Linked DNA regions of Drosophila melanogaster. The protein of the gene in region 4 interacts with the protein of the main gene of each other region in a pairwise test. Each region holds a gene or a part of one and is shown on either strand. Other genes may lie near its edges.

What was found.
Region 1: the proteins of CG18508 (region 4) and CG8372 interact in a two-hybrid assay, tested with the Drosophila melanogaster proteins (one large-scale study listed by BioGRID).
Region 2: the proteins of CG18508 (region 4) and Syngr interact in a two-hybrid assay, tested with the Drosophila melanogaster proteins (one large-scale study listed by BioGRID).
Region 3: the proteins of CG18508 (region 4) and CG34268 interact in a two-hybrid assay, tested with the Drosophila melanogaster proteins (one large-scale study listed by BioGRID).

The regions. Positions count from the first base shown.
Region 1 is NT_033779.5:8,211,539-8,217,666, reverse strand, and holds CG8372 (uncharacterized protein), read left to right. Parts: upstream 1-4,764; 5' UTR 4,765-4,957; coding exon 4,958-5,548; 3' UTR 5,549-5,628; downstream 5,629-6,128. Other genes in the region: CG8292 (uncharacterized protein), read left to right, coding at 43-693; CG8349 (uncharacterized protein), read right to left, coding at 828-1,264, 1,324-1,681; CG8353 (uncharacterized protein), read right to left, coding at 2,553-2,995, 3,180-3,249; CG8360 (uncharacterized protein), read right to left, coding at 3,667-3,886, 4,138-4,330, 4,385-4,448; Ssb-c31a (single stranded-binding protein c31A), read right to left, coding at 5,833-6,108.
Region 2 is NT_033778.4:13,838,700-13,849,727, forward strand, and holds Syngr (synaptogyrin), read right to left. Parts: upstream 7,557-11,028; 5' UTR 7,096-7,556; coding exon 6,967-7,095; intron 5,518-6,966; coding exon 5,286-5,517; intron 5,215-5,285; coding exon 5,075-5,214; intron 5,013-5,074; coding exon 4,841-5,012; intron 4,638-4,840; coding exon 4,585-4,637; 3' UTR 3,062-4,584; downstream 1-3,061. Other genes in the region: CtsL2 (cathepsin L2), read left to right, coding at 1-519; CG6357 (uncharacterized protein), read left to right, coding at 1,379-1,606, 1,676-1,945, 2,006-2,275, 2,334-2,618, 2,682-2,948; CG30484 (uncharacterized protein), read left to right, coding at 8,154-10,758, 10,813-10,946. UniProt on the Drosophila melanogaster protein: Required for the correct formation of synaptic vesicles at nerve terminals and has a role in the regulation of the synaptic vesicle exo-endocytic cycle.
Region 3 is NT_037436.4:497,563-504,500, reverse strand, and holds CG34268 (uncharacterized protein), read right to left. Parts: upstream 3,537-6,938; 5' UTR 3,477-3,536; coding exon 3,465-3,476; intron 3,402-3,464; coding exon 3,162-3,401; 3' UTR 3,101-3,161; downstream 1-3,100. Other genes in the region: CG34267 (uncharacterized protein), read left to right, coding at 4,128-4,139, 4,203-4,424.
Region 4 is NC_004354.4:3,169,533-3,177,141, forward strand, and holds CG18508 (uncharacterized protein), read right to left. Parts: upstream 3,609-7,609; 5' UTR 3,513-3,608; intron 3,456-3,512; 5' UTR 3,448-3,455; coding exon 3,148-3,447; 3' UTR 2,736-3,147; downstream 1-2,735. Other genes in the region: N (notch), read left to right, coding at 1-95, 190-499, 572-1,027, 1,103-1,449; Fcp3C (follicle cell protein 3C), read right to left, coding at 3,878-4,063, 4,136-4,746, 4,811-4,862; CG3939 (uncharacterized protein), read left to right, coding at 5,982-6,126, 6,402-6,664.

The DNA.
Region 1 (6,128 bases), on a different chromosome or scaffold from region 4:
AGATATGTTGCACCAAACTAAAACGTGACCATGATGTTCCAGTATAACGATCCCAACGCACTTAGAAATCCCTCGCTCAACATGAAAACACAGTATATGAAACCATTTGAGGAGGGTTCCCTTCGCTTTGTAAAGCGAAAGATGAAGCCCATTTCTAGTGTCAGTCATGAGTCGTATGTACTTAAGGAGCTGCCGGAGGAACAGGAAATATTGCCTGTAACAATGCCCACTCCGGTGGTAGCCACCAAGCTAGTCATCGACCGTTCGGAGGCGTCCTTTAGCAAGTACCTTGATCCCTCCTCCACCACATACAATCTGTCGTATGTGCGCTGGGGTCCCGAGGACTTGTGTGGCGGAGTAGCTGCCCACGACAATATTACATACTGGAATTGGACGGAGAAGATGCCGCCCATCCAGAAAGTGTCCCGCGAAGAGGATCCTACAATGTGTGACGAGGGTAATACGCATAATTGCCCAAAGCGACGCTGTGAGTTTCAAAACCTCACCAAACGAGTGCCGCATTCGGGAATGGTCACCGAGGTGCGCGCTAATTTCACGGATCCACAATTTCGAAGGGTTGAATTCGATCCAGAAGTTAAGCCCATACTCGTGCACGAGGAAGTCACTCCGTTTGCGGAGAAAAGCGAATACGGCATCTACGGATCGGGAGAACCAGTTATCAAATACGTTTAGTTCTCTACACATTGTTTTGACTTTTTGTCAAGTTAATCAGATCGCTAACTTAAATTATTTGCAATACTTATTGACATTAGAACGAATAATTTTATTGCATTAAATAAATTCTGGATATTATTTAGATGAAAATTTCATTCAAATGAGTTAAAGCTGTGGGGAAGCAGATGGTAGGCGGACGTGACCAGCACTTCAGCTTCGTCCGGAATTGAAGGAATGCAGTTCTCTTGCTCCGGCGGCGGAGCCTTGGCAATGTAGATAGGAATATCATTTTGGATGAACTCCAAAATGAACTGCCGGCAGACTCCGCAAGGTGTGGTAAACCCATCTGGGTGATAGGCTACCACAGCACCCGCCGTATACTTCTTCTCGCCCTCGCTGATACCCTTGGCCAGGGCACAACGCTCCGCACAATTGCCTGGAGTGAAAGCTACGTTCTCGATGTTGCAGCCCGCGTAGATCCTGCCGCACTTCGCACGGAAGGCTGCTCCCACTTTGAATTTGCTGTAGGGCGCATAGGCACATCGACGGGCAGAAAGAGCCGCCTCTAGCAGCTCCCGGCCATCCTCACCTGGAGATTACGGTTTGATTACCAATGGCAGAGGATTCACCATTATAGCCAAGCCTTACCAACAGCACAGAACGCTACTGTGTACTCCTCCAACATCTGTGGATGTGGCAGGTTTTCGGATTCACTAGCCCGACCCCTGTCGCCATTTAGACGCGCCTCCCTGCGTGCTAGCTCGCATAGAAATCCCTCCAAGGTCATCATATACTTTCCCAGTACCTTTCGAAGATTCTTCTGGCGCAAGTTCTTGATCTTACCGCCAGCGCACTTGGTGCCAGATTGCTCCTGGCGACGAGCTAGCTTCGCCTGCAACATTTCCAGTTCCTTCATCTTCTTCTCCAGCTCTTTTCGCTTCAGCTCATCCTGTAGGTCGCTCAGGTTCCGCATGTAGCGCTGAAGGAGCTTCCGCTTTTCGGACATTTTGCAGAACTTCAAATTTTTAAAACGAAAACAATTTTTGAAAGCCAGAAGCAAATGCTGTATCTGTTGGCAATTTGTAAAACACTAATGTCAAACAAATTATTTTCTTTTTGTTTCTTTTTCATAAAAATGATTATATTATATTATTTAGCGCCATTTGAATTTTTATTACATTTATTACAGTTGATGTTCATTAAGGCATTTAATGAAACAACAACAACAACTAAATACGTTTAAAATTTTTACAAATTAAGAATGTCGAAAAAGCTCGCGCGTTTTCGACGCGTTTCGGACGCGTTTTGAACGCGCCTTTATCGCGACATCGGTCTAGCCAGTCTGTCTTATTGTTCGTATGAACATCATGATCTCAAAAACTAGAATCCAAAGGAATTGGAAACAAACCTTATAAATTTGATTTAAAAGATTGCCACTACCACAATGATCTTTCTTATTTTCGCTACTATACAAATGGCGAAATTTAATCTCACAATAATTTGGTGTTTATGAATCAGAAGTTGAGTGCATTTATCACGTCATCACAAATCGGGGCATTCCCTGCATTGCGCTTAACGTCAGCAGTTGTCAATCCAAATTCGATATCTTTAATTTATAACCTTAATTTTGATATATAATCAAAAGCGATTAAACACCTTTTCCTAGAATCTTTCACTGTGTCAATCTTTCCAGCATTTATATCCCCATTTCCTATTCATTGATCGAAAAAAAAACATTAAACACTGCTAAGTAGTGTAATTTTCTTTATTGCAAGTGATTAGATCAAAATTATATTGATTAGAGGCAGCAAGGGGTTGAGAAACAACCTTTACCTAGCTACCTTCTGCCTATTTTCGGTTCTTGCCTGCAGTGGTCGTTACTTTCGATAGGTGTGAAAACTGCTCGGCAACAGATTAAAGATTGAGGTGCACATGACGGGATCGTCACTCTGCAAAAGTTCCTGCTTTTCAGCAATCCTCGCATCGATCGCCTGGGCCACATATATGGGTATATCCGCGTTGGCAAACTCGCGTATAAACTGACGACAAACGCCGCAAGGAGTGGTGAATACATTAGGTTCGTAGGCCAAAACAGCACCTGCCAAAAATTCGGTGGCTCCTTCGCTTACGGCCTTAGCAATGGCCGTTCTCTCGGCACAAGAGCCCGGCGTAAAGGCGGCGTTTTCCACATTGCAGCCAGTGAAGATCTTTCCATCGACCTTGGCCCGAAAAGCAGCCCCAACTTTGAAGCCACTATATGGAACGTATGCCCGCTGGCGCACTTGAAAAGCAGCTGTCAGAAGTTCTTGAACCGACGGATCTGGAAGTCGAAACAATGCACGCCACGCTCAAGAATTAAACTTAGATCTTGTCAATGAGTGTAAGGAGTATTAATTTATAACATTATTATTTTTAATATCATAAGAACCACTTTGAATAATTGACAGTCGTAGATATTTAAGGATTGTTCTCAGATTGTTCTCAATCTCGAGAAGGAATCTTACCCAGACTGCCGAAGGTCACAACCTCCTCATTCTTTTCTGGACGTGCGAAATTTTTTGTCAGATGTGTCATTATAGTTCAATTCTTTTGGTCAATAGAGGCACGCCTATTTTCTTAAATTTTGAATTATTTTTAGCAAGTTGAGTGCGTGTGTTTCTCCTTTGAACGTCCGATGGCAAATGGACGGTTTGTGGTGACGGCGGCGCCCGAAGTTGGCTATGCTGATAGCACTCTCCGCCGTGTAGTGGTGACAGAAATAAACATTTGGCCAATTCGGAGCGCGAGAGAGAACCAGGTATCAGGCTGATAAGCAACGATCGCGATCGCGGAGAGCAGTGAAAAACACAAACAGATGCCGTATCTCGTATAAGCTATTCAATCAACAAATAACGAGGGGTGGGTTTACAGAACATTATAAATGGGATGTCACATAAACTATTGCACATGGATTGCACCCTGTCCGGCTGGGCTGGGCTGGGATATTCTTTTCTATTTTCCGTTGGCGAAGCTAAAGCCGTTGGGCAGCAGTTGGAGAACGCTGGTGCAGAGCACCCTCAATGGAAGATTGGTCGGCTTGGCGGCGTACAGGGGGATGTCCTTGCCGTTGACGAACTCCGAGAGGAACTGCCGGCAGACGCCACAAGGCGTGGTGAAGCCATTATCCTGCTGGGCCACCACTGCACAAGCCACAAAGTCGCGTTTGCCTTCACTGTAAAAATGTGTTATTTTAGTTATTCGAAAGGACTTGGAGAGGATAATTAAGTATGTAAGAATTTAAGTAATAGTGTTGTCATTACAGATTAACATTCCTCATTGCTGTCAAGGGTTATCTCAATATATTGAAATCTAAGTTTTTAATCCAAGATAAGCTTTACTGTGACTAACGCTTTACTTTCAGTATTTCCTGTGGATAGATCTCAAGCGATGCGTATGTGACCCAGAGAATATTGACCCACTGACCTGATGGCCTTGACGGCTGCAGTGCGCTCTGCACAAATGCAGGTGGCATACGCCCCGTTTTCGATGTTGCAACCGGAGTATATGGTGCCATCGCTGGTCCTCAGGGCGGCTCCTACGGCAAAGTTACTGTACGGACAATAAGCCTGTTTTCTGGCTTCCGTGGCTGCCAGGATGATCTCTTGAATCGAAGGATCTGCAGAAAGGACCACAAATTATAGTGACATGGCAATGTTTCACGACTTCGTACCCAGGCTCTGGAATTCCCGTACATTGAGATCGTCTCTGGCACCATTGATAAACACCTGTGTCATGGCCAAGCGATTGTTAATGAATATTTCACAATAGAAGTAGCAGCTCAGCCAATAAACACAGCACCAGTTCTCACTTCCAACGCAATGGCAACTGCTGCAACAGCTGTTCGCTGCAGGGGCGTACACAGAAGTAAAGTTTATGGGGCTCTAACATTGCTGTTCCACAAATGTAGAAACATATTTCCAAATACATACCTAAATAAAAAAAAGAATTTGTCAACTTTGCGGAGTTGAAAATTTCGTGTGACTACGTTTGTACGTGGTCTCTGGATCCCCCTTTCAGACGCCTCTGCCATACAGCAATGCTTTCCAACACTGTCAATCTCCATGTCAATAAATACTGAGGTAGATGTGAGTGAACTGCGACTGCTTTATTTTCTCCTTATCGTACAATTAAAGCCCAATTGGAATTGTTAGCGACTCGTTTCATGGGCATTACGGCCGGGAAGACCGTGAGTGACTGTTCTTGTGGCTTCCCCGCACAAATATCAACCTAATACAGTGTAATAATGTCGACAAACCCAAGTCCGCAGCGGCAACAGTCCGAGGACGTTCAGATCTCGATGGCCAGTTCCGGAGGAGGAGCCGGCAATGGCGTTCCGGATAGACTGCCTCCGATCAACGTAAAGGACCAACGCTTCCCCTACTGCATCGTTTGGACTCCCATTCCGGTTCTCACCTGGCTGATGCCCATGATCGGACATATGGGCATTTGCACTTCGTCCGGTGTGATTCGTGACTTCGCCGGCCCCTACTTCGTATCAGAGGACAACATGGCCTTTGGAAGACCCACCCGGTACATAAGGTTGCACCCCAAGCACATGGTGGGCGGCAGTTACGCCTGGGACGAGGCGGTCTCCAAAGCATCTGTGCTCTACGGCACCCGCATCCACAATATCTTCTGTGACAACTGCCACTCGCATGTGGCAACGGCACTCATCTACATGCGCTACTACGACAGCACCGCATGGAACATGATTATCCTCAGCATGTGGCTCTTTGTCTGCGGCCGCTACGTCGGAATAGGGGGTTTTATTAAGACCTGGCTGCCGTTTGCCATTCTCCTGTCCATCTTCACCATTCTGGGCATCTATTTTTAATATTCATATCTATATCAAATGCTATCAATGTACAAATCTATGTACATATGACGTCCAATAAAGGATTCATTCATTTATGTATATGTGTGCTTTTTGTAGTCCCACCACAAAGCAGATAAGGAAAATACCTATCAGGCAATTAAGTTGGTCATTCATTAATGCTTCAGCAACTGTGAAAATACAGATTTTCAATTACTAGTGTTTAAGATAACGTTTATTCAGTGGATATGTCTATAGTTAGTACATATGGCTACGACTTAGTTTGGCATGTGGATGAACTTCAATTAATTCTCGATCGCGCGGGTGACTTCTTCGGCCACTTCAAGGAGTTTCTTCCATTGAATTAAAGATAGGGAGATGCCCTTCTTGCCGGGAAGAATTTGGCCGCCCTTATCGTAGAACTCTCGAATGTCCACCGATTTGCGACCGCGGAACTCGTTGATTCGCACCTGGCGAAGTCCTTCCAGGGTCCAAGATGTAGCACCATTTTCGCCCGAATCTTTTGGATCTGAATTTGGAGCATCAGATTCCTTCGCCTTCTTGCTTGCCGGCTTGATACGCTGAAAGAGGTTTTAACTTG
Region 2 (11,028 bases), on a different chromosome or scaffold from region 4:
CAGAATCTGGTGGACTGTGCCGATGACTACGGCAACATGGGCTGTGACGGTGGCTTCCAGGAGTACGGTTTCGAGTACATACGCGATCACGGTGTAACGCTGGCCAACAAATATCCGTACACACAGACGGAGATGCAGTGCCGTCAGAACGAAACCGCCGGACGTCCACCGCGCGAGAGTCTGGTGAAAATTCGCGATTATGCCACCATTACTCCCGGGGATGAGGAGAAGATGAAGGAGGTGATTGCCACGTTGGGACCGTTGGCGTGCTCCATGAACGCGGACACCATTTCGTTTGAGCAGTACAGCGGTGGCATCTACGAGGACGAGGAGTGCAATCAGGGCGAACTGAATCACTCGGTAACCGTGGTGGGCTATGGAACGGAAAATGGACGCGACTACTGGATCATCAAGAACTCGTACTCTCAGAATTGGGGCGAGGGCGGCTTTATGCGCATCCTCCGGAATGCAGGTGGATTCTGCGGCATCGCCAGCGAGTGCAGCTACCCCATTCTGTAGGCTCACAACTGCGCCATGCAATTAGTTAGATAGTATAGTCAATTAAAAACCACGAATTTATAACTTTGTTACTGTAGTCGTAAGCTGTGTGGGTCACCACATCGATTCCATGAGTCACGCGGTTAATAAATGAAACAAGTGCCTTATCGGTTTGTGTTGCTTTCTGGGGAAATTCTGAGAAATTGGATCGTAGTCTTAACGGCTATGCACACAAAAATTAATTTTCGGTCTTATTTATTTTTTGAGAAACATTTTCTTAATGAAGAACAACGCTGTGTGGGAAGTTGTTTGAGAAAGTAATAAATTTCAATTTGGCAAAGTGGATAGAAAATGAACAATGCACACATAACCGTATAACCGTGTAAATTTGCGACAAATTTAATATAAACAAGAAATAACGCTACAGTCGGGTGTCACGACTAATGCATACCCGTTAATCAGAAAAAGCTGCAAGCAGCGTAACGTTTGTTTACAGCATTTGTGTGGAAAACACATACATATCTAGAATGTAGTTGTTACATTCCTATCAACGAGCCTAGTATTCCCGCCGAGTAATGGGTATAAAAACGGGGCTTAAATTTCAAATTAATTTAATTCAATACTATTGCAACAAATCATAAAGCAATTATGCCAGTTGTTATATATTTGGTGGGCAAGGTCACGTAAATGCAGTTACTCTTTTAAAAGATCAACACTTAAGAGAAAAGAGAGCAAAAGAAATCGCTCTCGTTGTCGGTTTTTATTTAGATTTCTCTCTGAATGCAGCTGATTTTGAGTACTTGCAATTATATATGTATGTATTCCCCATATAATTCGCGATTCTGGCAGTGCGGAGCGCAGTACGAGAAAAGTGTTCAAGATGACCTCAGCTCGAATTTTACTTGGCGTCCCACTGCTCCTGTATTTGATGGGCGTGGCTCTGGGCGTACCAGTAAGCACATCATCACCTGCTACACAAAAAATCAATCCAGAGATTGGGGTTACTACTGGGAAAAGCGACGCTGACTCATCGACACCCACAATTGAACACACCTCTGGCTTATCTGAGTTCGAGGAGGAATGCCAGTTTGCATGGCAAAGGTTCTTGGTAAGTTTTTTGATCGCATAATTCCAAGAAAGGGTATCGTTCAAGGAAGTTATTTGTATACACTCCAAGGTCGACTTTGATGTACACTACGATAATGACTACGAACGGCAAAAGCGACGTGATATATTCTGCGAAAATTGGCAAAAAGTTCGCGATCACAATTTGAAATACGATTTGGGAGTTGTCAGCTTCAAGAAGGGTATCAACCAGTGGAGTGATCTTACCTTTGAAGAGTGGAAAGAGAAACAAACTCCCAAAGTTATGCCAGAAATCGCTAGTGAATCATCAAAGGAGGAGCGAGACAAAGTCAATTGCCAGGCTGCATGGGAAAAGTTTTTGGTAAGATTAGCTAGGTTATTAAAACCAACTTGGTATTAATATGTATGATATGAATTACAGATTGACTTTGGAGCGCAGTATAAGAATGCAAATGAAACCGAGAAACGCCGCAATGTATTTTGTGCAAACTGGAGGGCGATTGTGGAGCACAATGTGCAGTATGAAAAGTGGGCAGAGCCCTTCAAGAGGGACATAAATCAGTGGACTGATCATACTATTGAGGAACGATCTAGTCCTGCTCCCGAGATTCGTAAGGAAGAAGCCACTACATCTACATCCGAAATAGATAATGATAATATCATATGCCAGCCGGCTTGGGAGAAGTTCCTGGTAAGATATGGTTGGGTATTTAAAGAATTTTTATTAAAGTTGCTTTTATCAATTGCAGATTGACTTTAAGCCGTCTTATCAAGATGATACTGAAACCGAAAAGCGACGAAATGTATTTTGCGACAACTTTAAGTCGATACATAAGCACAATGTTCAATTCGATTTGGGAAATATTTCTTTTAAGAAGGGTATAAATCAGTGGAGTGATTTGACCGTTGAGGAGTGGAAAAACAAACAACGACCTGCTTTTAATCCAGAGTTTTCTAAAGTTGAAGCTACTACAAAAATATCTAAGGATAAGAGGGATGATAATACATGTCAGGCAGCATGGAAAAAGTTTTTGGTAATATTTGGCTTGCAATGTAAATAGAATTTGAGAATTTGAATGAATATATCTTTATTACAGATTGATTTCGGTGCGAAATATCAAGATGAAAAAGAAACAGAAAAACGCCGAACTATATTTTGCGACAATTGGAAAGCGATTCAGGAACACAATGAGCAGTTCGAATTGGGAGTGGAATCTTTCAAGAAGGGCATAAATCAGTGGAGTGATCTAACTGTAGAAGAGTGGAAAACCAAACAACGACCTAATTTAGCTCCAGAGTTTTCAAAAGAAGAAACGACTACAAAAATAAGCAAGGAGAAGAAATACAAAAAAAATGTTTTTTAAAAACTAGATGATAAGATATTGTACCGAGTACATTTTCAGATGAAATGTTTGTCACCTTTTAAATACACGCAAAAATATTGCTACTAACGCAAAGAGAATACCTTAGTGATTTTGGGTTAATTTTTAAAAATATGTATTTATTATTATTTCTTGAGGGGCTGTCCAGTTGAGAATCTTGCTTGAGGAGTTTATCTATTACAATAGTGTTTCGCAAATGTTCAAGCCGATTTTATGGCTGGGTTCGCTATTTAAATCGATCATTAAGTTTTAAATGAGTAAATTTTGTTTTATGTTTCTTTCACTACCTTTTTGTTTTATAACGCACACGAACTCTAAATGATTAATTTATACTTGTATATTTGCTGAGATCCCTATCTCCTTGTTGCATTTAACAGGGCGCATTATTCGTATTACACATACAATCCGTAAATATATATAATATATATGTATATAGTATTTAATTTAACAAATACATTTGTAGGTTATCGCAAGTTGCTGCACTAAGTGAACGTTTTTATGTAATCAATATGTTTACATTCATTGATATCTGAGTACATCGAAGTGGACAACACACCGCTTCTTTACAATGCATAATGGGTATTGTTGGGGCATTTATAGTTACTATACAAATCTTTTGGTAGGAAGGGGGTGGCAACAGTAAGCCTTGAACAAGCCCTATACCATTTCATATCTTCAGCGTGTTTTTGCGAACCATAACTAGAAATATTCCTGCAGTAATCTCCCGAGTACTGAATCCCTCACAACAATTCTACGGTTATTGAATCTCTTATGGTTTAGAATTTACATATTGTTTGGCGTTTATTGTAAGTGGTTGCATTTGCTGCTCATCTAACCAAGCATCGACCCTGGCCACAGGTTCTATATTTGTTGGGTAAATCTCAGATGGTAAATTGGATATGTGGCTTGAGCAGTGTGGTTCGTACATATGTATGTCCTTCAGGTGGCCGAATCGCATCAACTATTTGCATCAACTATTTGCACTGCACGTGTGTAAATTTATCTAAAAAAACATCATGTTTTCCTCTGTCTCGAGCTATTGCCATTGCTAACAAGCTGATCATCGGGGGGACCAGGGTCTGGCACCAAAACAAATCAATTCAAATCAATTCAAATGGTACGTACACGTAAACACTAAATAACTAACAACGTTGAAAGCGCGGTCTGCATGTATACATATGGGATATATAACTAGTTGTATATCTGTATAATATATATATATATATATATATATATATATATTGCAACAAATTTCCACTACAAAAAACTGCACACTCAACTTAAAGGGCTAGCTTACGAGTTATTCAAACTACTCCTTATCCGAACCATCCCATCTCATCCCATCCGATCTCATATCGGATCGGATCGGTTTGGATATATCCCTTGACTCTTCCAATAGCTAAAGCCAGTGCTTGGATTGGTTTCAGCTGCTTTTGCTGCCTGCTTGTTGCATCAAGTGTTATTGTTTTGGTTACTCTTGTTATATGTTCGACATCGGTGTATATGGTTAAAGCCAACTTGTGTGTTGTAGCTGTTTAGTCGTGTAAATCCTTGCCAGTTGCACTACAAAATCGAAGTGAGTGTGTGCGGACAACGGAGGAGCAAGTGTGGTAATTCCTTAATAGGTGGGCTGCTGGTACTCCATTCCGGATTGTTGCTGCTCCATGCCACCTGCGGGAGAAAAACTCAGATTAATCAGGTGCCAAGTGTGGGAGAATCATCAGATTACATATTATAATGGTTAACATCAGTTAAGAACTAAGAATGATTAGGTACTTTCAATATATTGTACATAATGATCTAGGAATGGCAAGTTTATATCCCATCTTATATCCCAACTTATACTTTGGCATTGTATTAGACCATGAACTTACCCTGCTGGGGCTGGCCAAATGGTGAGGCGCTGTACTGGTCGTTGTCGTTGTCCATGGAGTAGCCGTAGGCCTGCTGGTGGACCACGTTGGCGGGATCCGTTTCGAAGGCAGAGGTGAACTCATCGCCGGCGCCGATCAGGAAACGCTTGTAAGCCATCAGGGCGCACAGAGCCTGCAGAAAGAAGCCCAAAAATCAGGAAACTTCTCCAACCAAATATGCAGAAATCTACTAACCCAGCTGACAATCGAGAAGAGGCAGAACCAAATGGCGGTCTTCATGCTGCCAGCTCCGATTCCCAGCGGCGGTGGGGCGGATGAGCTCCATTGCGACCACAAGTACAAGAAGGCCACGAAGTACATGAATGTCCAGAGGGCTGCGACGATGGATTGCCATTAGTTATGTGCTGTCAGAGGAATATATGCATATTTGGCCAGAACTACTTACCCGAGAAACCCATGTCGGCCATGACATAACGCTTTCTGCTCTTCACCGACGACATCCGTTCGAACAGGAACTCGCCACCCATGAAACCCATGGAGGCCAGGAACCCGAAGACGCCCACCATGTTGCCATACTTGCAGGCCATGCCGTCGCCATTATAGAGGCAGTACTCCTTGCCATCCTTCTCCGTCCAACCCTCCGAGGATATGCAGCCAAAGACCACCACCGAGAAGAGCTGGAAAAATCAAGAGAATTCCCAATGAATGAGGGCGCCTATTAACATTTAATGGTCCTTTTGTATGCACACAGAAATGTTGAAGAGCTGAAAATGACTCAAAGTGCCATTAAATCAACTATAAAGCTGACCTGTTTTAAAAATTTTAATTTTATCGTTTCAGTTTAATTTCAATCACTTTTGTGTGTTGTGAATGAAAGTACCAGAACGTTGTTATAAAAGTATGAACATCAAAGCTTGTGAACATCCTTTTTACGTGATTGTAGGTTCGAGTTTACTAACACTTTCTGCTGGCTAAGCTCTTACTTAGGTTTTTAATCCAACTTTCGGATTTTGATTTTCACATCATCATTTTCTTATGCTGATATAGAACTCGCACTCCATTATTGATTTTCTTGAGCAGGTGCAACAAACCAGAAGTTCAAGTACACAGACAACGCGGCAGACACGTACTTATGTTTGTGACCCAATTTGCGGAATGAAGGCCAAGTTTGGTTTGTTTGGCCAGGAAGAAAAGAGCGGGAATGGCTCTGCAATCGCAGAGTCCTTGGTCAACAGCGTGGGCACATATTACGTATACCATCGCAAACAGGCGGTGAGCTAAACGCCCCCTCGGTTATACCGTTTTCCCACTTCCCTGCTGACGCACATCCAGTCGATGGCAGAATGAAGTCCTAAGCCTAGTGGCCAATTGCCCGGGCACCTTACCACATTTAATTATAAAGCTTTCATGGACGTGAGAGTTTTTATAGTCCCTCTGCAGCTGAACACCAGAGCACTCCCACTATATCCTCGCTGCGCCCCTCTGCAGCGGGTGTAAACAAATCGGACCTTTGAGTGCCACTGCGTTTATGTGGCAACATTCACGATTTACTTAGATTCTCAAATTACGCACGTTTTCTGCCACATTTACGAGCTAGCCATTTAATCGGAATGGCACATAAAGGTCACTTTTATGGTCGCAATTTAAAAGCAATATTTATAAAAACCTAATTTTATTAAAAGCATTGGGAAAAGAGGGATCTTAAACGTGTTTTTATATTTTCATTCAGTTTGAATTAAGAAAAACTAGATAAGCTAGATATATTTTTAAAAGGCAATATATTCTTGTCATTCTAAATTATTAATTTTTTAAACTTAAGGGTTTGTAAATAAATTAAAGAAAATTCCTTTAATATTTGGATCACAATATTTTAAGCCTTTAGAAGGCATTATAGCAGCACGGAGTTGGCTTACGCAATATGTATGAATTTAAGAACATGTATATTTAAACGAAAAGCTAAGCAATGTTAAGATCCTATGTAAAAGGTCCTAGAAGAACTCTGCCCTCGCATTACTTCATGAATTATGCGCGGTGTAAACAGTGTGACAATCGGGTCATGTGAGTGGCGTGTGCGTCCACAAATCCCAGCGATTCCCCGGACGCAGCTTGTCCGAACCCGAACTCACCCAGCACAAGGCCCTGATGACTACTTGGGGCTTCATGGCGAACGTGAGGGGGTCGAAGGCGCCGCCAGCCTTGCCGCCCCCGTAGGCGCCACCGTTATTGATGCTGAGTATCTGGTTGAGCATGTCCATGGTGATGATGGGTCTCTGATGTCCGGATTGCACTGCTTGCTATTGGGGCGCTCTCCGCTTGGCGTTTTCGCTGGCTGTTGTGAAAAATCGAACGCTTCTTGGGTCCGTGGGGCCAAGGGCAATGTGGGGGCGGCTGGCCCACTGCTGTGTGTGTGTATATGTGTATATACAATATACCGTGCGTGGTGTGGGTGGGTGCGCTCGAGTGTCTTCACGCAATTATGGATTACGGAACGGAATGACAATCTTTGTACGCAATGCTTGTGTGTTTGCACACTCGCTTTTCAAATTCACTTTCCGTTATGCGCGCACACAACAAGACAATTCACAGCACTCGCTCGTGTTTCAATCAATGCATAATTGATGAACAAATTTCAAGGGCCTGATTTTCACTTTTACTTTTTGCCAGCTTCGCTCTCAACGCAATTTCGACTGCCAGCGCGCAGGACTCTTGCCAAATAAAAAGTATCTCAGAGCTGGAAGAATCTAAGCGCCTTATCTTGAGGCACTGTTAGGCTGTTCAGCTACAGCGTGCTGTTAAGCGCGGCCAGTGTGACCATCATTGAGTTTTAATTCAAATTGGAACTTTCGATTGTGGGGGAAGCACCATAAATTCATTGTTGTAAGAATTCTTGCGTTTGGAACTCATTCAATGGCTGCGTTTCACAAGACGAACATCTGCTGGTGCAACTGCCTGTCAAATCCGTACAAGCAGATACATCAAAAGATAAAAAATTTTTGTGCGCTAAATAGGAACATTTCTGGGAGTCTAGCTAAATTTCAGGTACGTGATGTTGGTAATCAAGCATTTCAAAAACAATAAAATATGATAAAACACAAATTATAAATACTCGTTTGACAACTTCCTAATCTGTTCCTTATTTCATTTTAAACAGCAGAGCTCCCAAGATATATTGTTTTATAATGGACCAAAGGTGCCACAACTCAACGATAAAGAGATCTACGAAATTTGCTGTAATAGCAAGAAACGAAATTCAATTCATTGTAAGAATAAGGAAGATAGTGCTTTGATAGGAAATACAAATTTTTCATCTGAAATGGAAGACAAAGAAAATCATGTACCGGGAAAACAAAAGAACAGAAGAAATCCTGCTAAAATGGAAGGTGAAACAATTAACCCATATGCAGTGTCGATATCAATAGCTAAAAGACCACAAGCATCGGTGAGCCGCAAGATTCACTTTTCACGACCCTCCCTTCAATTTACATTATCTGAAAGCACATCTTTTAAGTATGATAAACACGATGCCCAAAAACCTACAATCTCAAATAAAATTCCTAAACGGCACGAGGAACATGGAAGAAAGCTTAAAGACAACGTAAGAGGTCAGGATTCAAAAAAGTATGACACTATTAATCGAAACAATAAACGGGAAGGTGTGGACAAATTTCAGCAAAAAATTGACTTAAAGAAAACTCAAAATACTCGACCAACCTATCGTTTTGAAAAGAGGAATGATGATCATTTTCGTAACGCTTTCGAGCCCCAGAAACTTGAAGCAACTGTAGAAACGAAAAAGCCCAAGCCATTTTCTGAAAATTCAGAGCAAGCCCTGTTTAACCAATTTTCCAAACAAAGGGTATCCAAGAACAATCTAAGGAGAACAATGGAAGTGGACACATCCCTGGGCATTTACCGGATGACTAAGCAGGACAATGAGTCTAAAATCAGTTCAAAACCCTATAGCTCTTTGCTAGGAAAGGTAAATCGAGAGGTATCCAAAAAACATACGACACTGAGGAGTATGCACGAATTGAAAATTCCCGAAGAACGTCGTACTTCAGACCGGAGAAAAACTTCAGCTCCGTACACCGAGACTTTTGATAAAATGCTCGAGGGTAAGGCTAACAAAATTTCTGAGTTTCATCCAATTCTAAAGTCATCTAATCGCCTTGGACATTCCTCCAAGTTTTCCTGGGCATCCAAAGATAAGCCAAAGGACAGGCGGAGGACTGAAACAAGGACCTTTGATGAGCTATTAAATGACGGCGATATGAAGATGCCCGAAGATCATCCTTTCCTAAGAAGCAGGACTTTATTGAATTCCAAAAAAGACAAGAAGGAAAGCACAGGAAAGTCTAAGACAGATAAAGATCTAGAGCCAAGTAATGGACTCCATGATAGCAAAACCTACAGACATATGAAAGTCAATAATAAGAACCAAAATCACTCCAAACCATTTGGACAAATGCTAAGTGGCAAGGAAAAGATCATACCAGAGCTGAACCGGGCTTTAACCAGCCATTTTCGAATAAATCGTGTCGGAAAAAGCACAAGTAATTCGTTCTGGATGGACCAGGACCCCATAATGTCCACTTCGCTTTATGAGAATCTACCAATAGTCGAGGAGCCTGTAGTTTCGCAGTCATCTGAGAAAGTACTAAAACCGAAAAAGACCAAAGTTATGCGGCCCTATCACCAAATATCTGTTATAACAAAGCCAGAAATTTTGCAAGCTTTTGGGAAATATTCTGTGGCCAAGGAAGCGGGAGATTCAAAAAATTCGGATACAATTCCATTGGCTGCAAAGACCAAAAATAGAAAGTCCACGTCCCAGCCTCAGAGCACAAACCGATCTCGTACATCAAGTGAGTTCTCTTTCGGATCAACTTGTTCTTTGAGGAAACGCTTTGCCCCCACTCCTGGACGGAAGATTCAGCTCAAGAAATTCTATTACTACATAAAGGATTCAATGGCAGATCGGAAAGTATTAAACCAGATGAACTCGAAGAATCCCATTTCCTATTTGAAAAGCGAGAAAAGCACTTACTATGGCAGAACTCCCAGTCAGACGTCATCGGATAGGTACCAACCATCTGTAGGATCGATAATCAGCACTGTGGCCATTGCCCAATCTTTGATACCTAAGCGGCAGAAAGAGCACAACAAGGACGAACCGCATGCGGATGCGGACGCACACTTGTTCGCGACTTTTCCAGAGGACTACGATCCAGTTGATGGCATAAAAAAGACAATTAACGACATTATAGCCGGTGTGGCAAAGGAAGAGAAAGTCCATGAGAAAATCCATAAAAAATCCCAGTCGATGCGGACCAAGAACAAGTCCCGGATGCATGAATATGCCTTGGGACCACATGATAATCTCGTGAGCATCCTGTCCCTGAGGAGGACGAGCCAGGAGGTCAAAACTCGCGAGAGTCAAGCTGTCATGGATTTGCATATGCGGGAACAGATTCGGGAGTCTTTCTACGCCAACGCAAGACCATCTGTGCAGGCACGGATCGATAAACTGATGAAGGAGGTTGCCATTCGCGAAGACTTTCGACCCAAAAAGAAACCACGCGATTTTGTGACGGAAAATATAGTCAGACTCCGTAATATGCAACCGACTAAAGGATTCCAGGCGGTGGATAAAGGTAAACCGCAAAGAAAGTACCCCTCATTGATTAGAATATTGGCACCACACGAAGAACTTGTACCCAAGATTTCCGCGGATAAGATGTCGCCGGAAATGCATCCGCGGAAACCCGTTAGAGTACGTCTATATTCGGACAAAATCTGGAGGGACCAAATGGATACTTATCAATCGGAAATGAAGAAATCGCCTCCAGATGCTAAAGTCTGTCGTCTAAGTGAAAGGAAAAAATGTGATTGCTATCTATGCAAATTGCTTTTGGAGGGTAAGTTAGTCAATCTTGTATCTCTATCCTAACAAATAGTTAATCTCCTTTTAGACAAAAATCAACGAGAAACAAACTTTATGCAGAAAGCAATGGCCCAAAGGCGTCGATTGGAACTCCGTTCATATTATCTTGAATTACAGAAAAGGCAAAGGGATCGGAATATGAACTACCCTAAGATTTGCTAAATTAAATGATACTATATGGTTATCTTAGAAGCAAAAATTAATCATTGGAAAGTCATAAGATCTGTTTATCTTATGATAGTCC
Region 3 (6,938 bases), on a different chromosome or scaffold from region 4:
GAGAGTCGCGCAGATGGAGCTTTTCGAACTAGGCAGCAAATGTCAATTGCCCAAAATGGTTAAACATATTTCCAATAAGTTGTTAGGCGTTTGTCTCTGTCAATTGTTTGCGGCTGCAGTTGTTGCTTCTGCAGTTCCCGGGGGCGGAGACACGCATTCGGTGTCCAGGTCTCAACTGTTAACTAGAGTTCCACTTCCAATTCCAATTCCACACAAACCGATCGACGCAATCAAGCCCCACAGCTACTGGCCACAGACCAAATGGATTGGCAGCCGGGGAAGATGGCGATCGAGATTGGGTCCAAAATTGAGATTGAGAGATGATCGCCGTGAAGCAAAATCCAAAAATTTGTCAGATGCCGGACAATGTCAATGGCCATAACGAGCTGAGATCTTTGCTGGTTCCCCAAGGTGCTGGCTGCAATCTCCTTATATATTTTTCCGATGCTTGAAATTTATTTGTATTATGTGGAAAAAAGTTTGGAAAGGACAAGAAACTGACAAGAAACTTCAGTTTCTCCAAAGTTAATTACTTGAATTTTTCAACACTTCAATACAAGATTCCTGACAACCACATTGTACCTTCTCCACTAAGTGGTTGCAATCCTATGGTAATCGACGATCAACTCTTTAACAAGCACATGAACTGATGGACTAACTAATGGGCAAGCAAAGTGTTTTAGGCATTCGCTGTTCTGGTCAACCGAGGTGTAAGCACTCATGTTCCCTGTCGCCTGAAACGACAGGATGTCTTTGTTTTCCGCAAAACTTGGGCCTCCGAAAATGGTCAAGACAAGCAGCAGGCAGCATGATAAAGCGGGGGGAATGAGTTTGTTTTCCCTGGTTGCCGTGGCTTCCCTGGAAAAGCCGCAGGAAAAGTGAAGGTGGTGCAATTTGGAGTCTGGCCGCGCGATTAGCTAAGCGCTGCGACCATATAATCGCATTGACAATTCCGATTTGTGTGCGGGAGTCGAGGAAGTGCTCCACTTTATGGCAGTCATAATTTCATGTTTGAATGTTTCGCCTCGATAGGATTCGGAATGGGGATTTTCGAATTGCGATTTGGTCCGCTGGCCTGGCCTGGACTGGCTGGCCGCTTGTCCGATTCTATCGAATGGGTGTCCATTGTGTTCGCGGCAATCTCCCTCCGCCAGATTTGCATAACAATTGCTGACTGTAACCTTTCGCCCAATAAGTTAGCTGCAGCTCCAGCTCCAGCTTCAGTCTGGACTCCAATTTCGACTCGGATGCGGCCCAAGTGGCCAGCTGCAGTTGCTGGGCGGCAATAAAACATTTACCACCGAATTAGCCCAGTCGGAGAGTAGTTCAAGTAGTTTAAGTGCAAGACCACTTAAAATTCAGTTACGACTGCTGCCCAGTTCGGTTCGGTTATAGTTCAACTTTCGCGTTAAATGAACCTTTAAATAAACTTTCCATTTTATTTGGCGTAGTTCAGTTGAACTTGAGCCTAACTGAATTGTAATGTGCAGTCACGTGCAGTCATTTAGCAGTTGAGGTGTTGATTAAAGGTCGCGAGGTACTAAAAGCAGCTACGAGTGTTTGAAATTGCACTAAAAAGAGCTACGCTATTTGTAACTTGATTACACTATTATCGAAACATTGAAACAAACAATTTGTTAATACGGCTAAAACGGCTGACTGGGGCGAATCTAACTCCAAATCCAATACGATCGAAAAACATTTCTCTGCTTCATCGATCGGAAACACGCCCAAATCCACAAGAGAATAACACACGAGATAGAGATGGACTGAAGGGGGGGGGGGGGGGGTCTCTCAAGTTCAATTGAGTTTCACTTTCCTTCATAATTTAAATTAACAATTATAGCGGATAATTAACAAAATGAAAACAAAAGCATCGAAGGCAACTCCCCCTGAGCGGCTACGAAAAATATTATTACAAACTGTTGGATAATTTATCAAATGAGCTGCGGATAGGATAGGATTGGGTAGCTGGGCGACGATGAAGTCATTACCACAGACAAAAAAGAAACCACACAAAAGGAGAGACAGGCCCAACAAAAAGACGACGTCACATGTGAAGCGGATCAAATGATTTCGTCATAATCGAGCAGCAAATTACTATTTTTTCCCCCTAATAGAGTAATAAAATTGCCCAACTCTGGCCGAGAAATTTACTTTAAACTGAAAAGGAAGTGGAACCTGAATGGTAGCAGCAGGCTGAAAAACAAAGCTGAAACTGAAAATCGAAACCGAAATGAAATGTGGGGAAAATTAAGAAGAAAACGCTAACAATAAATCTTTTGGCAATAGAAAAAACAAAACCTGCCACAAAAAAGGCCCAAAAAGCCTGTTCACAAAATTGACTTTCGAACACAATTTATTTTTATATTTTTGTCTGCTTATTTCGATGTTATTTTTTTTTTTTGTTTTACCAAATCGCTTGAGAGTTTTTCTAGCCAGCGATTTAATAACCCGAATAAAGCCCCAAATAAAAAACAATGAAAAATTAATGTACGATCCATTCAGGTTCATCATCGACACGAGATCGAACCGCAACCGGGGAAAAAGCCAAAGGGAAAGGCGGCTGGCTCAGAGTGTTTGAAGCGGGCTGTAAGGCTTTGCTTTGTCGCCACTTTAATTGGCTCAAATTAAAGACGAGCTGGGATTGGGTTTTAATGGCAACGTCTGTCGGGTAAGGGGTGGTGGGAGGGGGGGAGGTGGAGAAGATGCAGCTGCAGTTTAGAGGCGTCACTTTATTCCGCTGATTAATGAAGAAATTTCCCCTGGAAGCTTGCCGCCTTGTTAACGACTTTATGTGTGACTATTCGCAAATAACAAAATGAGCGAGGTGAAATTAAATTTTACAAAATGTCCCATAAAATAATCAGTCAGCCATGGAAACCACTGGGGTCTGCGGACAACTTTAGTTGCTATAAAATGTGTAAAATGGAAAGTGCTGACCACGAAAGGGTGTTGGGTACGTAATTTTTACGAGAATTATTTCCTTGATGTAGGAAAAAACATGCATCATTTAATTGTAAGTATAAAAATTAAGCCAGTCCCGATGGCATGACCCAAAAGTTTATCCTCGCTCTATACCAGAAAATAAAGATAAGTTCGATTTGGTTGGCAATTTATTTATGTCGGGTCAATTTCTAATGGGGTTGTGCTACAATAATTTAACCATGGTAGATGTGGTGTCCATAGGTGGGAACAGCGTAGGACTTCAGCACAGGGACATGCTGAACCACTGGGACATTTTTCACCACCGGAACATGCTGCACCACTGGAACATGCTTCACCACCGGAACAGATTTCACCACGGGCACCACCTGGGCCACAGGAACCACTCCGTAGGAGGGCTCAATGTAACCAGGAGCAGCAAAAGCCATTGCTACCAGGGCGAAGATTACAGCGATCTAAGGAGATATTTTGTAATATGAAAAATCCTAAGGATTTACTTTATAATTTCGTGAACTTACAATGCGGAACATTTTGGTATTTTGTTGTGAGTTAAAAACTTTAACTTGTGGTTATCGAACGTTTGTGTTAGCCGGACGACTGTTGTTGATTGACCATCCGTGGAATCATTATATATAGTAGTTAGCACCTCAGCCGAAAATAGCCCACAAATGACTTCTGTTCGAACGCCACGCGCCAAACCAGTTTAATTATCTTAAATTTGGTATCTTCGAATAATGCGCATTCTATTTGGTATGAAACCATCTCCAGCGGCGAACTTCCCGTTATCGGTCGTTATTGCTTAACCTTTGGACATAATCCCCATTCAATGACTTCTCAATTGTTTGCTGTTTTTAGATCCGTGTGCTTATTATTGTTTACTTCCAAGACCATTGTCATTATATCGATCGTCTTCACGCGTTTGTGATGATCACCAAGAACCAAGGTCATGTCCACAAAAAAAGACCTATATGAGGCACCTTTGGGTCAACTGATAAATCCATTCTCTCAATTAAACAGAAGAATTATGGCCAAACACGTTTGCCCATTTAGAAGTTGTTATTGAAGTGATTTTTGGCTATATAAAGTAACTGATCCATTGGTCAGCATCACCAGTCGTCCTACAAGCATCCAAGTGACAATATCTCCAAGTCAAGTTTGTAAATTACTAAGAAAATACCAAAATGTTCCGCATTGTAAGTTCACGAAATTATAAAGTAAATCCTTGTGATTTTTCATATTACAAAATATCTCCTTAGATCGCTGTGATCTTCGCCCTGGTAGCAATGGCTTTTGCTGCTCCTGGTTACATTGAGCCCTCCTACGGTGTGGTTCCTGTAGCCCAAGTGGTGCCCGTGGTGAAATCTGTTCCAGTGGTGCAGCACGTTCCGGTGGTGAAGAATGTCCCAGTGGTTCAGCATGTCCCTGTGCTGAAGTCCTACGCTGTTCCCACCTATGGACACCACATCTACCACGGTTAAATTTTGGAAAGAGCTCAATCGATATCGCACGGGAATAAATAAAATGTTTATGCTTGTAAAAGGAATCATATTTGACTTACTTGTCTCAAATCAAATGCACTTCAAATGAGTTTACAACTTCTGTGATTTATTCGCAGTATTTGCAGTGTGTGCGGATTATTTTCTCATGTCCCGCCGAGTTTTTGTATCCAACAACCCATTAAGAGCTGCAACAGAATTTTCTTCGGTCTGGTCCGATCGGAAATTTTTACGCAAGCCGTAAATGCGCCAAAATCTGGAACACAAATACGTTTTTCTCTGTTTTCGCGTTAGGGGCTTTGTAGTTTATTTGGTGCGGATCGAGTGATAAAAGCCAAATGTGCGCCTCGTTCCAGGCACCCAAAAGATACGGAGATTGAGCAGTTGCGTGGAACACATTTGGCAGGCTGTTCGCTGGTGAATTGACTCTTTGCACCGACTGAAGGTGATTAATGGACGCCAAGAGGAGCGGAGCGGAGTGGAGTTCAGTTGCGAAGAGTTGAGAGTAGCCGTACGATACTTCTTAAACGGTAGTTAAAATCTAACTAACACGCGAGAGAAAGAGTTTGCGTTTGCAGAGTTGGCTGATGAAAACGCTTGCGGCTGGCATTGAAGACTTCTATAAAATGGAAAGGGGGAGGCTTTTCTTGCTGACCCACTTTTGGCAGACAGAAAAATGTATTTGCCTTTGCTGACTGGCTTGGCTGGGCACTCCAAGAATTGTTAACAGCAATTTAGTGGTTATTCGCTTCTTCTTCGGCTGCTAAGTGTATTTTATTGTTCGCCAATTGCTGTTGTTGTCTTGTTAACGCTTTTTATAGCCGCCTTTTGCTTTTCGGCCAACTCTATTTGTCGAGTCTTTCTCTCCATGCAGATGTATCCCACAGATACATTCATTAACTTGTTTGCAGTTACAGTTTCCCTGTTTCCCCTCGCCGGTGATTTATGCTATCGCCAGCGTTTGTTCGTATATTTAGACATTTCCTATGTGTTGTCACCTCAATTTTTTCCTGCACTTGCTCAACTTTTTTATTTTAATTTTATTTTTAGGCTAATTAAAATAATCAGGTAATTGTGCAGTTATGAGTTATGTCTCAAGTCGGCGGAGAAGAGGAAGATTGTGTGAACATGGCAGACCTCAAATCTCGTTATGACTATGAATATGCATTGGCGCTTGATGAGATCCCCTTCCCCATTTTGTGAAGAAGTTAAAGGCGTGCCCAGGCAATTAGTTTGGAGTTGGGCCCTTCCATAGAAACCTTCAGGGCTATTTTGGCACGTTGTCAGGAGGTGGAATGCTGGAATCAGGCGTTGACTTCGGGCGAAACTTGTTCTCCACACCCAGTAACCATTGAATATAACAGGGCTCTCTAGTTAAGATGGGCTCATAAATAGAATAAGTTACAGGCAGCTTTTGACTTTAATAGTTCGCACTTTAATGGATGTTGAAGGACTATGAACGAGTTCGATGAGATCATGATCCTGTTTTAACTATTAAAGTTTTTGAAAAGTTCAATAGCATTCATCACTTATTTTACTTCCATTGAGTAAAACTTAAAGCCAAAACCTGAGCGAATTTTCCTCCCCATCTCTCAGTCAGATATGTGATTGATTTTCCAATCTTTCTCCACAAAGTCTTTAAGAGCACTCCGGCCTGGCAAACTGGACTTAACGTCGATGTCATCCATATGCTTGTGGCGCGGCCGACAAATAGCAAATAAGGGAAAAACTTGTCAGCCTCGCACACGTTTCCTTCTTCTGGCTTTGGATGGCTTCTTGGAAAAGCGGGGCCAGCACAAGAATCTCTTCTATTTCCTTGGGAAATATCTCTGGCATTCGTGTTGTGCGTTGTCTTTGATTCTTATATATCGAGCTGGGATTCTGGTCGCTCTCGTTTCGAAGAGATGAGATCTTTTAAAAGGCAGTCGTTGCTCTATGATCTACTTTATGCATTAGTTTTCAGTTCGAGGCGCGTGCGAAGACCACAAATCGATGCAGGAAATCCGATTTGTGGTAAAAGTTTTCCTTTTTTCTGCTCCCCCAGTTTTCCTCATCTGAGTTTTGCTTTACTTTGGTAAGTTGCCGTTTAAAGTTGTTGCACTAAGTAGAAATATGTGCAAAACGGTGGTTGTGGGGCTTCTGAGAAATCAAAGCCGGTGGTCTCGAAAGGCGGAAGAGTGAGGATTTTGGTGGGCGATAGGTGCCAAGTGTTAAGGGTTGTCGTGGGTTAATAGTCGTTAAACGTCAGCGAGGGTCAGTGGCTTACCAGGGTCTAAGGATATTTGAGATGTGCACTTTTGCTTAGATGAGAAAATGCAAGTGAAAGAGTCAAGCTATAATTGTAAATAGTGAACTACAATAAGCCAATTTTAAATTACACTATAATAACTGTGTGTATGTATTTTGTCAATTTAAAACAAGACAGTTAAAATTCTGATCATCTAAAAGTCAATGAATTTATTTCTTTTATCGGCAGTATAGATAAATACAAACTTA
Region 4 (7,609 bases):
GTTCGATGTACTCGAATGCGATGGCCGCACCGCTGGCGAACGGCAATCCGAACACGGGCGCCAAGCAGCCGCCGAGCTATGAGGATTGCATCAAGGTAAGTGGAGTCGACTGTGAGATGAGTGACGATGGAAGTGGAAGTGGAAGTGGGATTGGGTGGTTCACTAAATGCACTCATATTACAATTGCAGAATGCGCAATCGATGCAATCGCTGCAGGGCAATGGTCTGGATATGATCAAGCTGGATAATTATGCCTACTCGATGGGCTCGCCATTTCAGCAGGAGCTGCTCAATGGCCAAGGACTCGGGATGAATGGTAATGGCCAGCGAAATGGAGTCGGTCCCGGCGTTCTGCCCGGCGGCCTATGCGGAATGGGCGGTCTGAGTGGAGCCGGCAATGGAAATAGCCACGAACAGGGACTGAGTCCGCCGTACTCGAATCAGTCGCCGCCGCATTCGGTGCAGAGCAGCCTGGCGCTATCGCCCCACGCCTACTTGGGTGAGTTTCAAGTCTACGAAGTATTACAAATGGGTTTTTATGTATTAATCTATTTCCATTTACTTGTTACAGGCTCGCCATCGCCGGCCAAGTCGCGACCCAGTCTACCCACCTCGCCCACCCACATTCAGGCGATGAGGCATGCCACACAGCAGAAGCAATTCGGTGGCAGTAATCTGAATAGTTTGCTGGGCGGTGCCAATGGCGGGGGCGTGGTCGGCGGAGGAGGAGGTGGTGGTGGTGGTGTTGGCCAGGGGCCACAAAACTCACCCGTAAGCTTGGGAATCATCTCGCCGACGGGCAGCGATATGGGCATCATGCTCGCCCCGCCCCAATCCTCGAAGAATAGTGCAATAATGCAAACGATATCACCCCAGCAACAGCAGCAGCAGCAGCAACAGCAACAGCAGCAACATCAGCAGCAGCAACAGCAGCAGCAACAGCAGCAGCAGCAACAGCAGCAGCAACTCGGAGGCCTGGAGTTCGGTTCAGCGGGCTTGGACCTGAATGGATTTTGTGGATCTCCGGGTAAGTGGTCACTCATGATGGACTCTATGGACTAGCTAACTAGCTAACTAATCATTCTACCATCCCAACTTGCAGACTCATTTCACTCGGGTCAAATGAATCCGCCCTCGATACAAAGTTCAATGTCCGGCTCATCGCCGTCGACCAATATGTTGTCGCCGTCGTCGCAGCACAATCAGCAGGCCTTCTACCAGTACCTAACGCCTTCGAGCCAACATTCCGGCGGCCATACGCCGCAGCATTTGGTCCAAACGTTGGATAGCTATCCGACGCCCTCGCCGGAGTCACCTGGCCACTGGTCCTCCTCGTCGCCGCGATCGAATTCCGATTGGAGCGAGGGCGTTCAGTCGCCGGCGGCAAATAATCTTTACATATCCGGTGGCCATCAGGCTAACAAGGGTTCCGAGGCCATCTACATTTGACCGTGATCTGGATGATTTGGTATGTTGAATATCGCGCAAGGATAATTGGATGGCTTGCCAAGGATAACAGCAAAAGGGGACTCTTAAAGAGTCCGCGGCTAAGTTCGATCTAAAATATGCTATATATTGTAATTCTCTAATCTCTACGGATTATGTATTTTTTCCAACGACTCTTTTTTTTTTTTTTTGAGTGTGTCTATAAGTTTTAGATGTTAGTGCGAAATACGCAATTCTAGCGGAAGAAGCGTCATAAATTGTAGTAACTTAAATTTTATTTAATGCTTGTTGTACAGTGCGCGCCGATCGCATATATATATATATATATAGATATTGATATAGATATATGTATATCTACTCATAGATATACCAGTTAAGAGCTCGTCTTGTGGCGCATTTTATTTTATTGTCGTAACGTCATCGTAGCTTCCAGTAAAAAAAAAAACAAAAAACAAAAGAATCAACATAAAAAGATGAGCAACTAAACTTAGCGCAAATTCTGATTGGATCGATTAAACGTTTGTGGGACAATTTGTAGTTGTAAGTGACCATTATATCACTAGGCCATAAGACTACGCTAAGTTTTTTTTATCGAATTCTACATTATTAATTATGGCCCCACATGCTATATATAAATACATAAATTTCGTAGTTCTGTAGGTTTTGAAACTGAAGTGCTTATATAAACAAAATTGTTAGACCGTACACCGCATCGAACCTTTTTTTTTACACCAAGTTTTTTTTTTTTATTATTATTATTATTATTATGACTATTATGTATTATTACATATTGACTAAGCTAAACTGTAAAAAGATTCTCATAACTGTTTGATTTAAGTTGACACATACAAAATACAAAAGGATTTGCAAAAAAAATTACACAAAAATCACCAATGGAAACGTATAAGTCTAATTGAAAGAAAGAAAGAAAAGAAGAAAAAAAAGGAAAAAACCACGAAAAAGACAGTAACCAGCCAAGTTTACTATATATATAAGGACACTCGACGATCTACGATCTAAGTTGATGAAAAGATATTTTCAAAAAATATGCAACAGAAAGAAAAAAAACGCACACACTTAGAGAAAACTGCAAAATACGAATTTTCTCGTTCGATTTGCATTAATTTTAATTTGAACGGTATTGCTTTCTTTCGTCTATATTTTGTGTGTAAGTTTTTAATGTGTAAATTGTAAAATTATTTGTTTTCCTAACTTAAACAGCCAGACAGCAAAACGAAACTGCAAACTTTTTGACATAAATAATAAATATTAAATAATTATTTTAAAAGCCGTGTGTTTATTTCATTAATTATATACATATACAACATATAAAGGCGAATTTTTCAGCTCTGCGTTGTTGCAGCTGGAACAAAGTTTAAATACCATATTTCATATTGGAACTGCGTGGAGTTAACCTTTAACCTTTAACTCTTGACACACACACACACAAACCCGCAGGAAAAGAGCAGTTTTTTCGCGTGTCAAAGTGTACATTTAATTGCAAGTTAATTATACTTTAGACGTTCTTGCCGCTCTTCAAGGGCCACGCCCCCTCCCCCTCCTTTACCAAACGATCGCCGCCCACCACGTTGGATTTGTGTCCTTGTGTTGTGTGCGTTGTGTTTTCCGCTCTTATGTCAAAACATAACAAAAAAAAAAAAATGTACTATGTGTTAAATTACAATATTTGGAACATTTCGACTAGATCTCCTTCTTGGACTCGTCCACTTCCGTTTCCGCTGCCATTGCTGTTGCATTCAATGGCGGATTTTCAGATTCCTCGGCATCGTCATCACTGACGTTCTCCGTCTTCTTGCCGCCCGGAACGAAGGGGCAAACGCCGCCCTTGCACTCGAATGGGAAGTCGGGTCCCTTTTTGATCACATTGCCATCGTCGTCCTTCTTCTCCCAGGGATTCCAGTAGCGCAACAGGATCGGCTGCACAAATTTGTGCCAAATGTACAGAAGCAGTGGAATGATAATACAGGGCACGCAAACCATTGTTCGGGCTTTAAAAATGGTTAGTTATTGGCGTTGCAAGTGATTACAACAATTGCGGAACGTACCTATTTAATGTTAGCTTACTGGCTCCGGAAAAAAAGTATTTCTCGCTTTGATTTCCTTAATTCAACTATTTATTTATTGTCAAAAATGTCAGTGTAGCCAGTTCACTTGTGTTTGGTATTGAGCCTAAAAACGCCACGCATATACTGTTATCTTAAAAAAAAAAAATACGTACTCTCTAGCAAAGAACGCAACCGGTTGGACTAATATAGTCCGGACTCGAACCAAACCGTTTGAAATCTATTAACCCTTATGTGCACACCTTAGCTTTTTTTTTGCTTTTTTTTTTAGATTTTTTAACACCATGCGCATTTACAATACAGTTGAAATTTTGTCATATCATATATTTATTTCATTTGCACAGTGCTTAACCCATCAATGGGCAACGGTAGGGAACGCCAGAGCGACAACAGTACTCCCTGCCCGCCTGCAGATTGGTATTAACCCATTGATTGTGACAGTTCTTGATGAACAAATAGGCCCGTTCCTTGTGACAATCGTGACCCAGTGCGGAGCATACTATATTTGCGGAATTCGGCAGATGTTGTACGATCTAAAATGGACGAAATGGTGAGTTATAGAGCGCTTCTCCTCATCTTTTCCTCCTCGTTTCCCCAGTACTCACCGTCTCTAGGCATTTGGTTTGACACTGCTTGCGACCGATGGCATTGCAGGGAAACATATGATCCAATTCCTGGTGGATAAGTGGCTTTGTCGGCAAGCCATTTGGGATTTGCGAGGAGAGGAAGACGCCGCATGTGCACGGCACTGGCTGATTATCCTGCACAGGCAGTCCCGCTGTCGGTGGCAAGGGAATGGTGCTAACCAGACTGCTGCTGCTCGATGGGTTTGTGCTCATCAGCGGACTCGCGGTGGTTGGCTCCATCGATCGTGTGGATCCTTCCGACGATCCGATGATGGGTGCCTCGCCAACGGTCGTTTCGGTGGTGCCATTGTTACCAATGGTTTCCGTGCTGGCTTCCAATTCGCTTGCGGGCGTTGTCATAATCACAAACTCAACGGCCGTGGGCCAATCCTCTTCGGCTGTTGTGCTGCTACTTGCAACACCAGTGCTGCTCATGGTGCTGGTTTCCAGTTTGACGGGCTTCGTCTTTATACGCTTGTCCTTGATGATGTTGCTATTGCCATAGAGCGGCTTCTTGTAGACTATCTTGGATGCCTCCAAATGGATGGCTAGCAGAAGTGTCAGCAGCAGCAGGGAATTTTTAAAGGCGCCTGATATATGAAATATATACGATATGAAATGTGTTCTTTAGCTAATATTACTTTCAAAGCTTACCCATCTTGGTATCTACGGAAACACTGAATACTTCTGCCTTTGCGCCATCCATTTTATATAAGCCATTTTCTTACTTGGCTTGCAGTTTTTCAAGATTTCGGTCTTCCATTTTAGTCGGCCCCCAACGAAGTTCAAGTTGTGAGAACCGGCAAAATTGTGTCAGGGTTAAGTCTGATTAAGCAGAATTTTCACACAAAGCGAGTGGAATTCATTCATTTGGAGGAAAGTGAGAAGAAAGAAAAAGAATTACTTCCGAAAATTATGCGTAATCAATAAACCCAAAAGTTGTGTCTTGAGCTGCACAAAGTTTACCTTACCGTTCTAAACTACTTTCCAAAATCTTTTTAAATATCCCGCCAAACTGCAATGAAACTGTTATGATTATAATAACATAATGGATAACATAAATAAACGGCCGATTAAACAGCAATTATTATCCAAATTATACAAGTTATAATATGGTAATATTAACAAACATTTCAACATAAGCAAAGCTTTGGTTTTTAATCTAATTATAGATTTAATTTAATTTTCATTTTTTGGTTTGTTTTTCGTTAAGTTAGTATTTTTTGCGCTGTTTATGGAACTTAACAGAAATACCAATCAATATTGGGCGGCCAACATTTGAAATATAAATACAGATTATCGATATGTATCTTGAACGAAGTTTTAAATGTTTGTTATTTGTTAAACTCAACAATCCTATAGATTTATGCCATAAAAATGTCAAAATTATCGTTGCTTCAAATGATTTAAGTACAAAATTCGAGTTTCGATAAACGGTTAACAGTGCCGTACTCACCACGGTGCGCCCAACAGCACGCACACACAGCCGGCTGTGGTGGGTTCGCTGGACAGGCAGTGTGGTGAATATACTAGTTGCTGGAGCTTGCCGCAAAAAAAAAAAAAAAGAAAACAAAACAGATCGAAAAACACAGCAAACAACAAAATTATACGCCATTAATTACCCGATAAACTTACCGATGGCCGATAAGCAACGGCTAAGTGATCCGTAACACCCAGCGATAAGATCCAGATAAGATTGGAATTAAATTTTGGGTTTGCCATCCGCATCGAAATCGCCGCAATCGGAATTTACTTGTACACCAGCCAACTCGCCGTTCAAGACGTCCAAGTTTTTTTTAATCCAGAAATCCCATACACTGCCAAAATGCCCGAATATGTGCCGGCACGGGGCTTCAAGGAGATGGAAAATCTGATCAAGCTGTACGAGAACCAGCGCAGCCCCATCTACATCTACTTCTACGGCGAGAAAGACAAGGACGGACGCAGCTGGTGTCCGGACTGCGTGGCGGGTAGGTGACGAATTCTCCTCGCCCAGCGGGGCGTTACTAGTCCAGTTGGGCACTCTACATTCTGCTTATCACGCTTCTCATTTGTGGGTTTCAGTTAGTTACTTTCTACCCAGCTAACTTGAGTTACTTTTGATTTGATTTTCGCTCTCCATTGAGAGTTCCATCTACATTGTACATTGTCCTCATCATTTCGATTCATTTCATCGCAGAGTTATAACATAACATAAAGAAGTGACATACATTAAGTTAATCCCATTATCGCTGATATTTTCCAGCCGAGGAAACTATCATGAGTGCCTTTCGCAACCACGCGCCGGCGGATTGCATGATCCTGGTGGTGGACGTGGGTAGCCGGGAATCCTGGATAGGCAAGGACAACATGTTCCGAAAGCCGCCATACTCGGTGGAAGGCATACCGACCCTTATACGCTGGAAGGGCGTGGAGCGCCTGGATGGGGATCAGCTGCTCAAGTCGAGTCTTCTGGAGCTCTTTTTCGAGGAGACCGATCCGAAGAAGTCCAATTTTGTCGCCCAATAAAACGCGATTTGGCTTTGGCTTAAACTCACTCCCACTCTCAGTCTCTCTCTCTATCACTCTCTCTCTCTCTCTCTCGCTGCGGCTCTCTTTCTCTTTGCTGCTTTGCGCTCAACTCGGTGGAAAGAACGAGTGAAATTGTCGTTGGGAGGGGTGGTGCTAAAAAAGGGGGGAATGGAGAAATGGGGGAGAACAGAATGAGTGGAGCATTTCTGGCTGGCAGCGCGTCGCTCGGCATTTACTCGTTTATTTGCACGCATGTCGTCGACCAGGACGAATCGTTTGGCAGAGCGCGGCTGAAAAAGGAATCGAAAACGGGGCTATAACGGTAATAGCGGCACACGCGTCCAACGGTAAACACGCGTGCCAACGCGCCATCTCGCTCGCACGCGCTAATGCCGCGATTTAAGTTTTGTTTTATTTTTTGCAAGTGTTCGAATCAAAAAGCCTAACAAAACACAAAACCCGAAACAGTTCTCAAGAAATACATAGGTAAATGCAAAGTAAGATATGTATATATGTAGCTAAACATAGCGGAAAAGCGCAGAGTATCATTGAATTTGAAGCACACGACCGCACAGTTTTGCAAGCTGATTAACTGTAAACATGCTGAACATAAACAATGGATAAAAAAACATGATAGATCCTGCCTAAAAGTGAATGGTTATAAATTAAGAATGGGCTTGCAACGGTAAATCCTGTTGCGTTTTGCTTTAACTGTTTGAAAATAAAAAAAAATATATATTTAATAATAGAATAATAAAAGGTTTCGTAAGTAAAGTAACATCAAAACTAAACTAAAGGTAAATGTATAAATTGATCAAATGTTTTAAAAAGTAATACGTTCAATATTTAGCCAATGCAAAACCAGGCAAACGCAATTTACCGTAACTTCTTAGCCAAAAACCCTGTTGCTTCGGCCGCGTTGCATATTAATTGTGTGGCAAG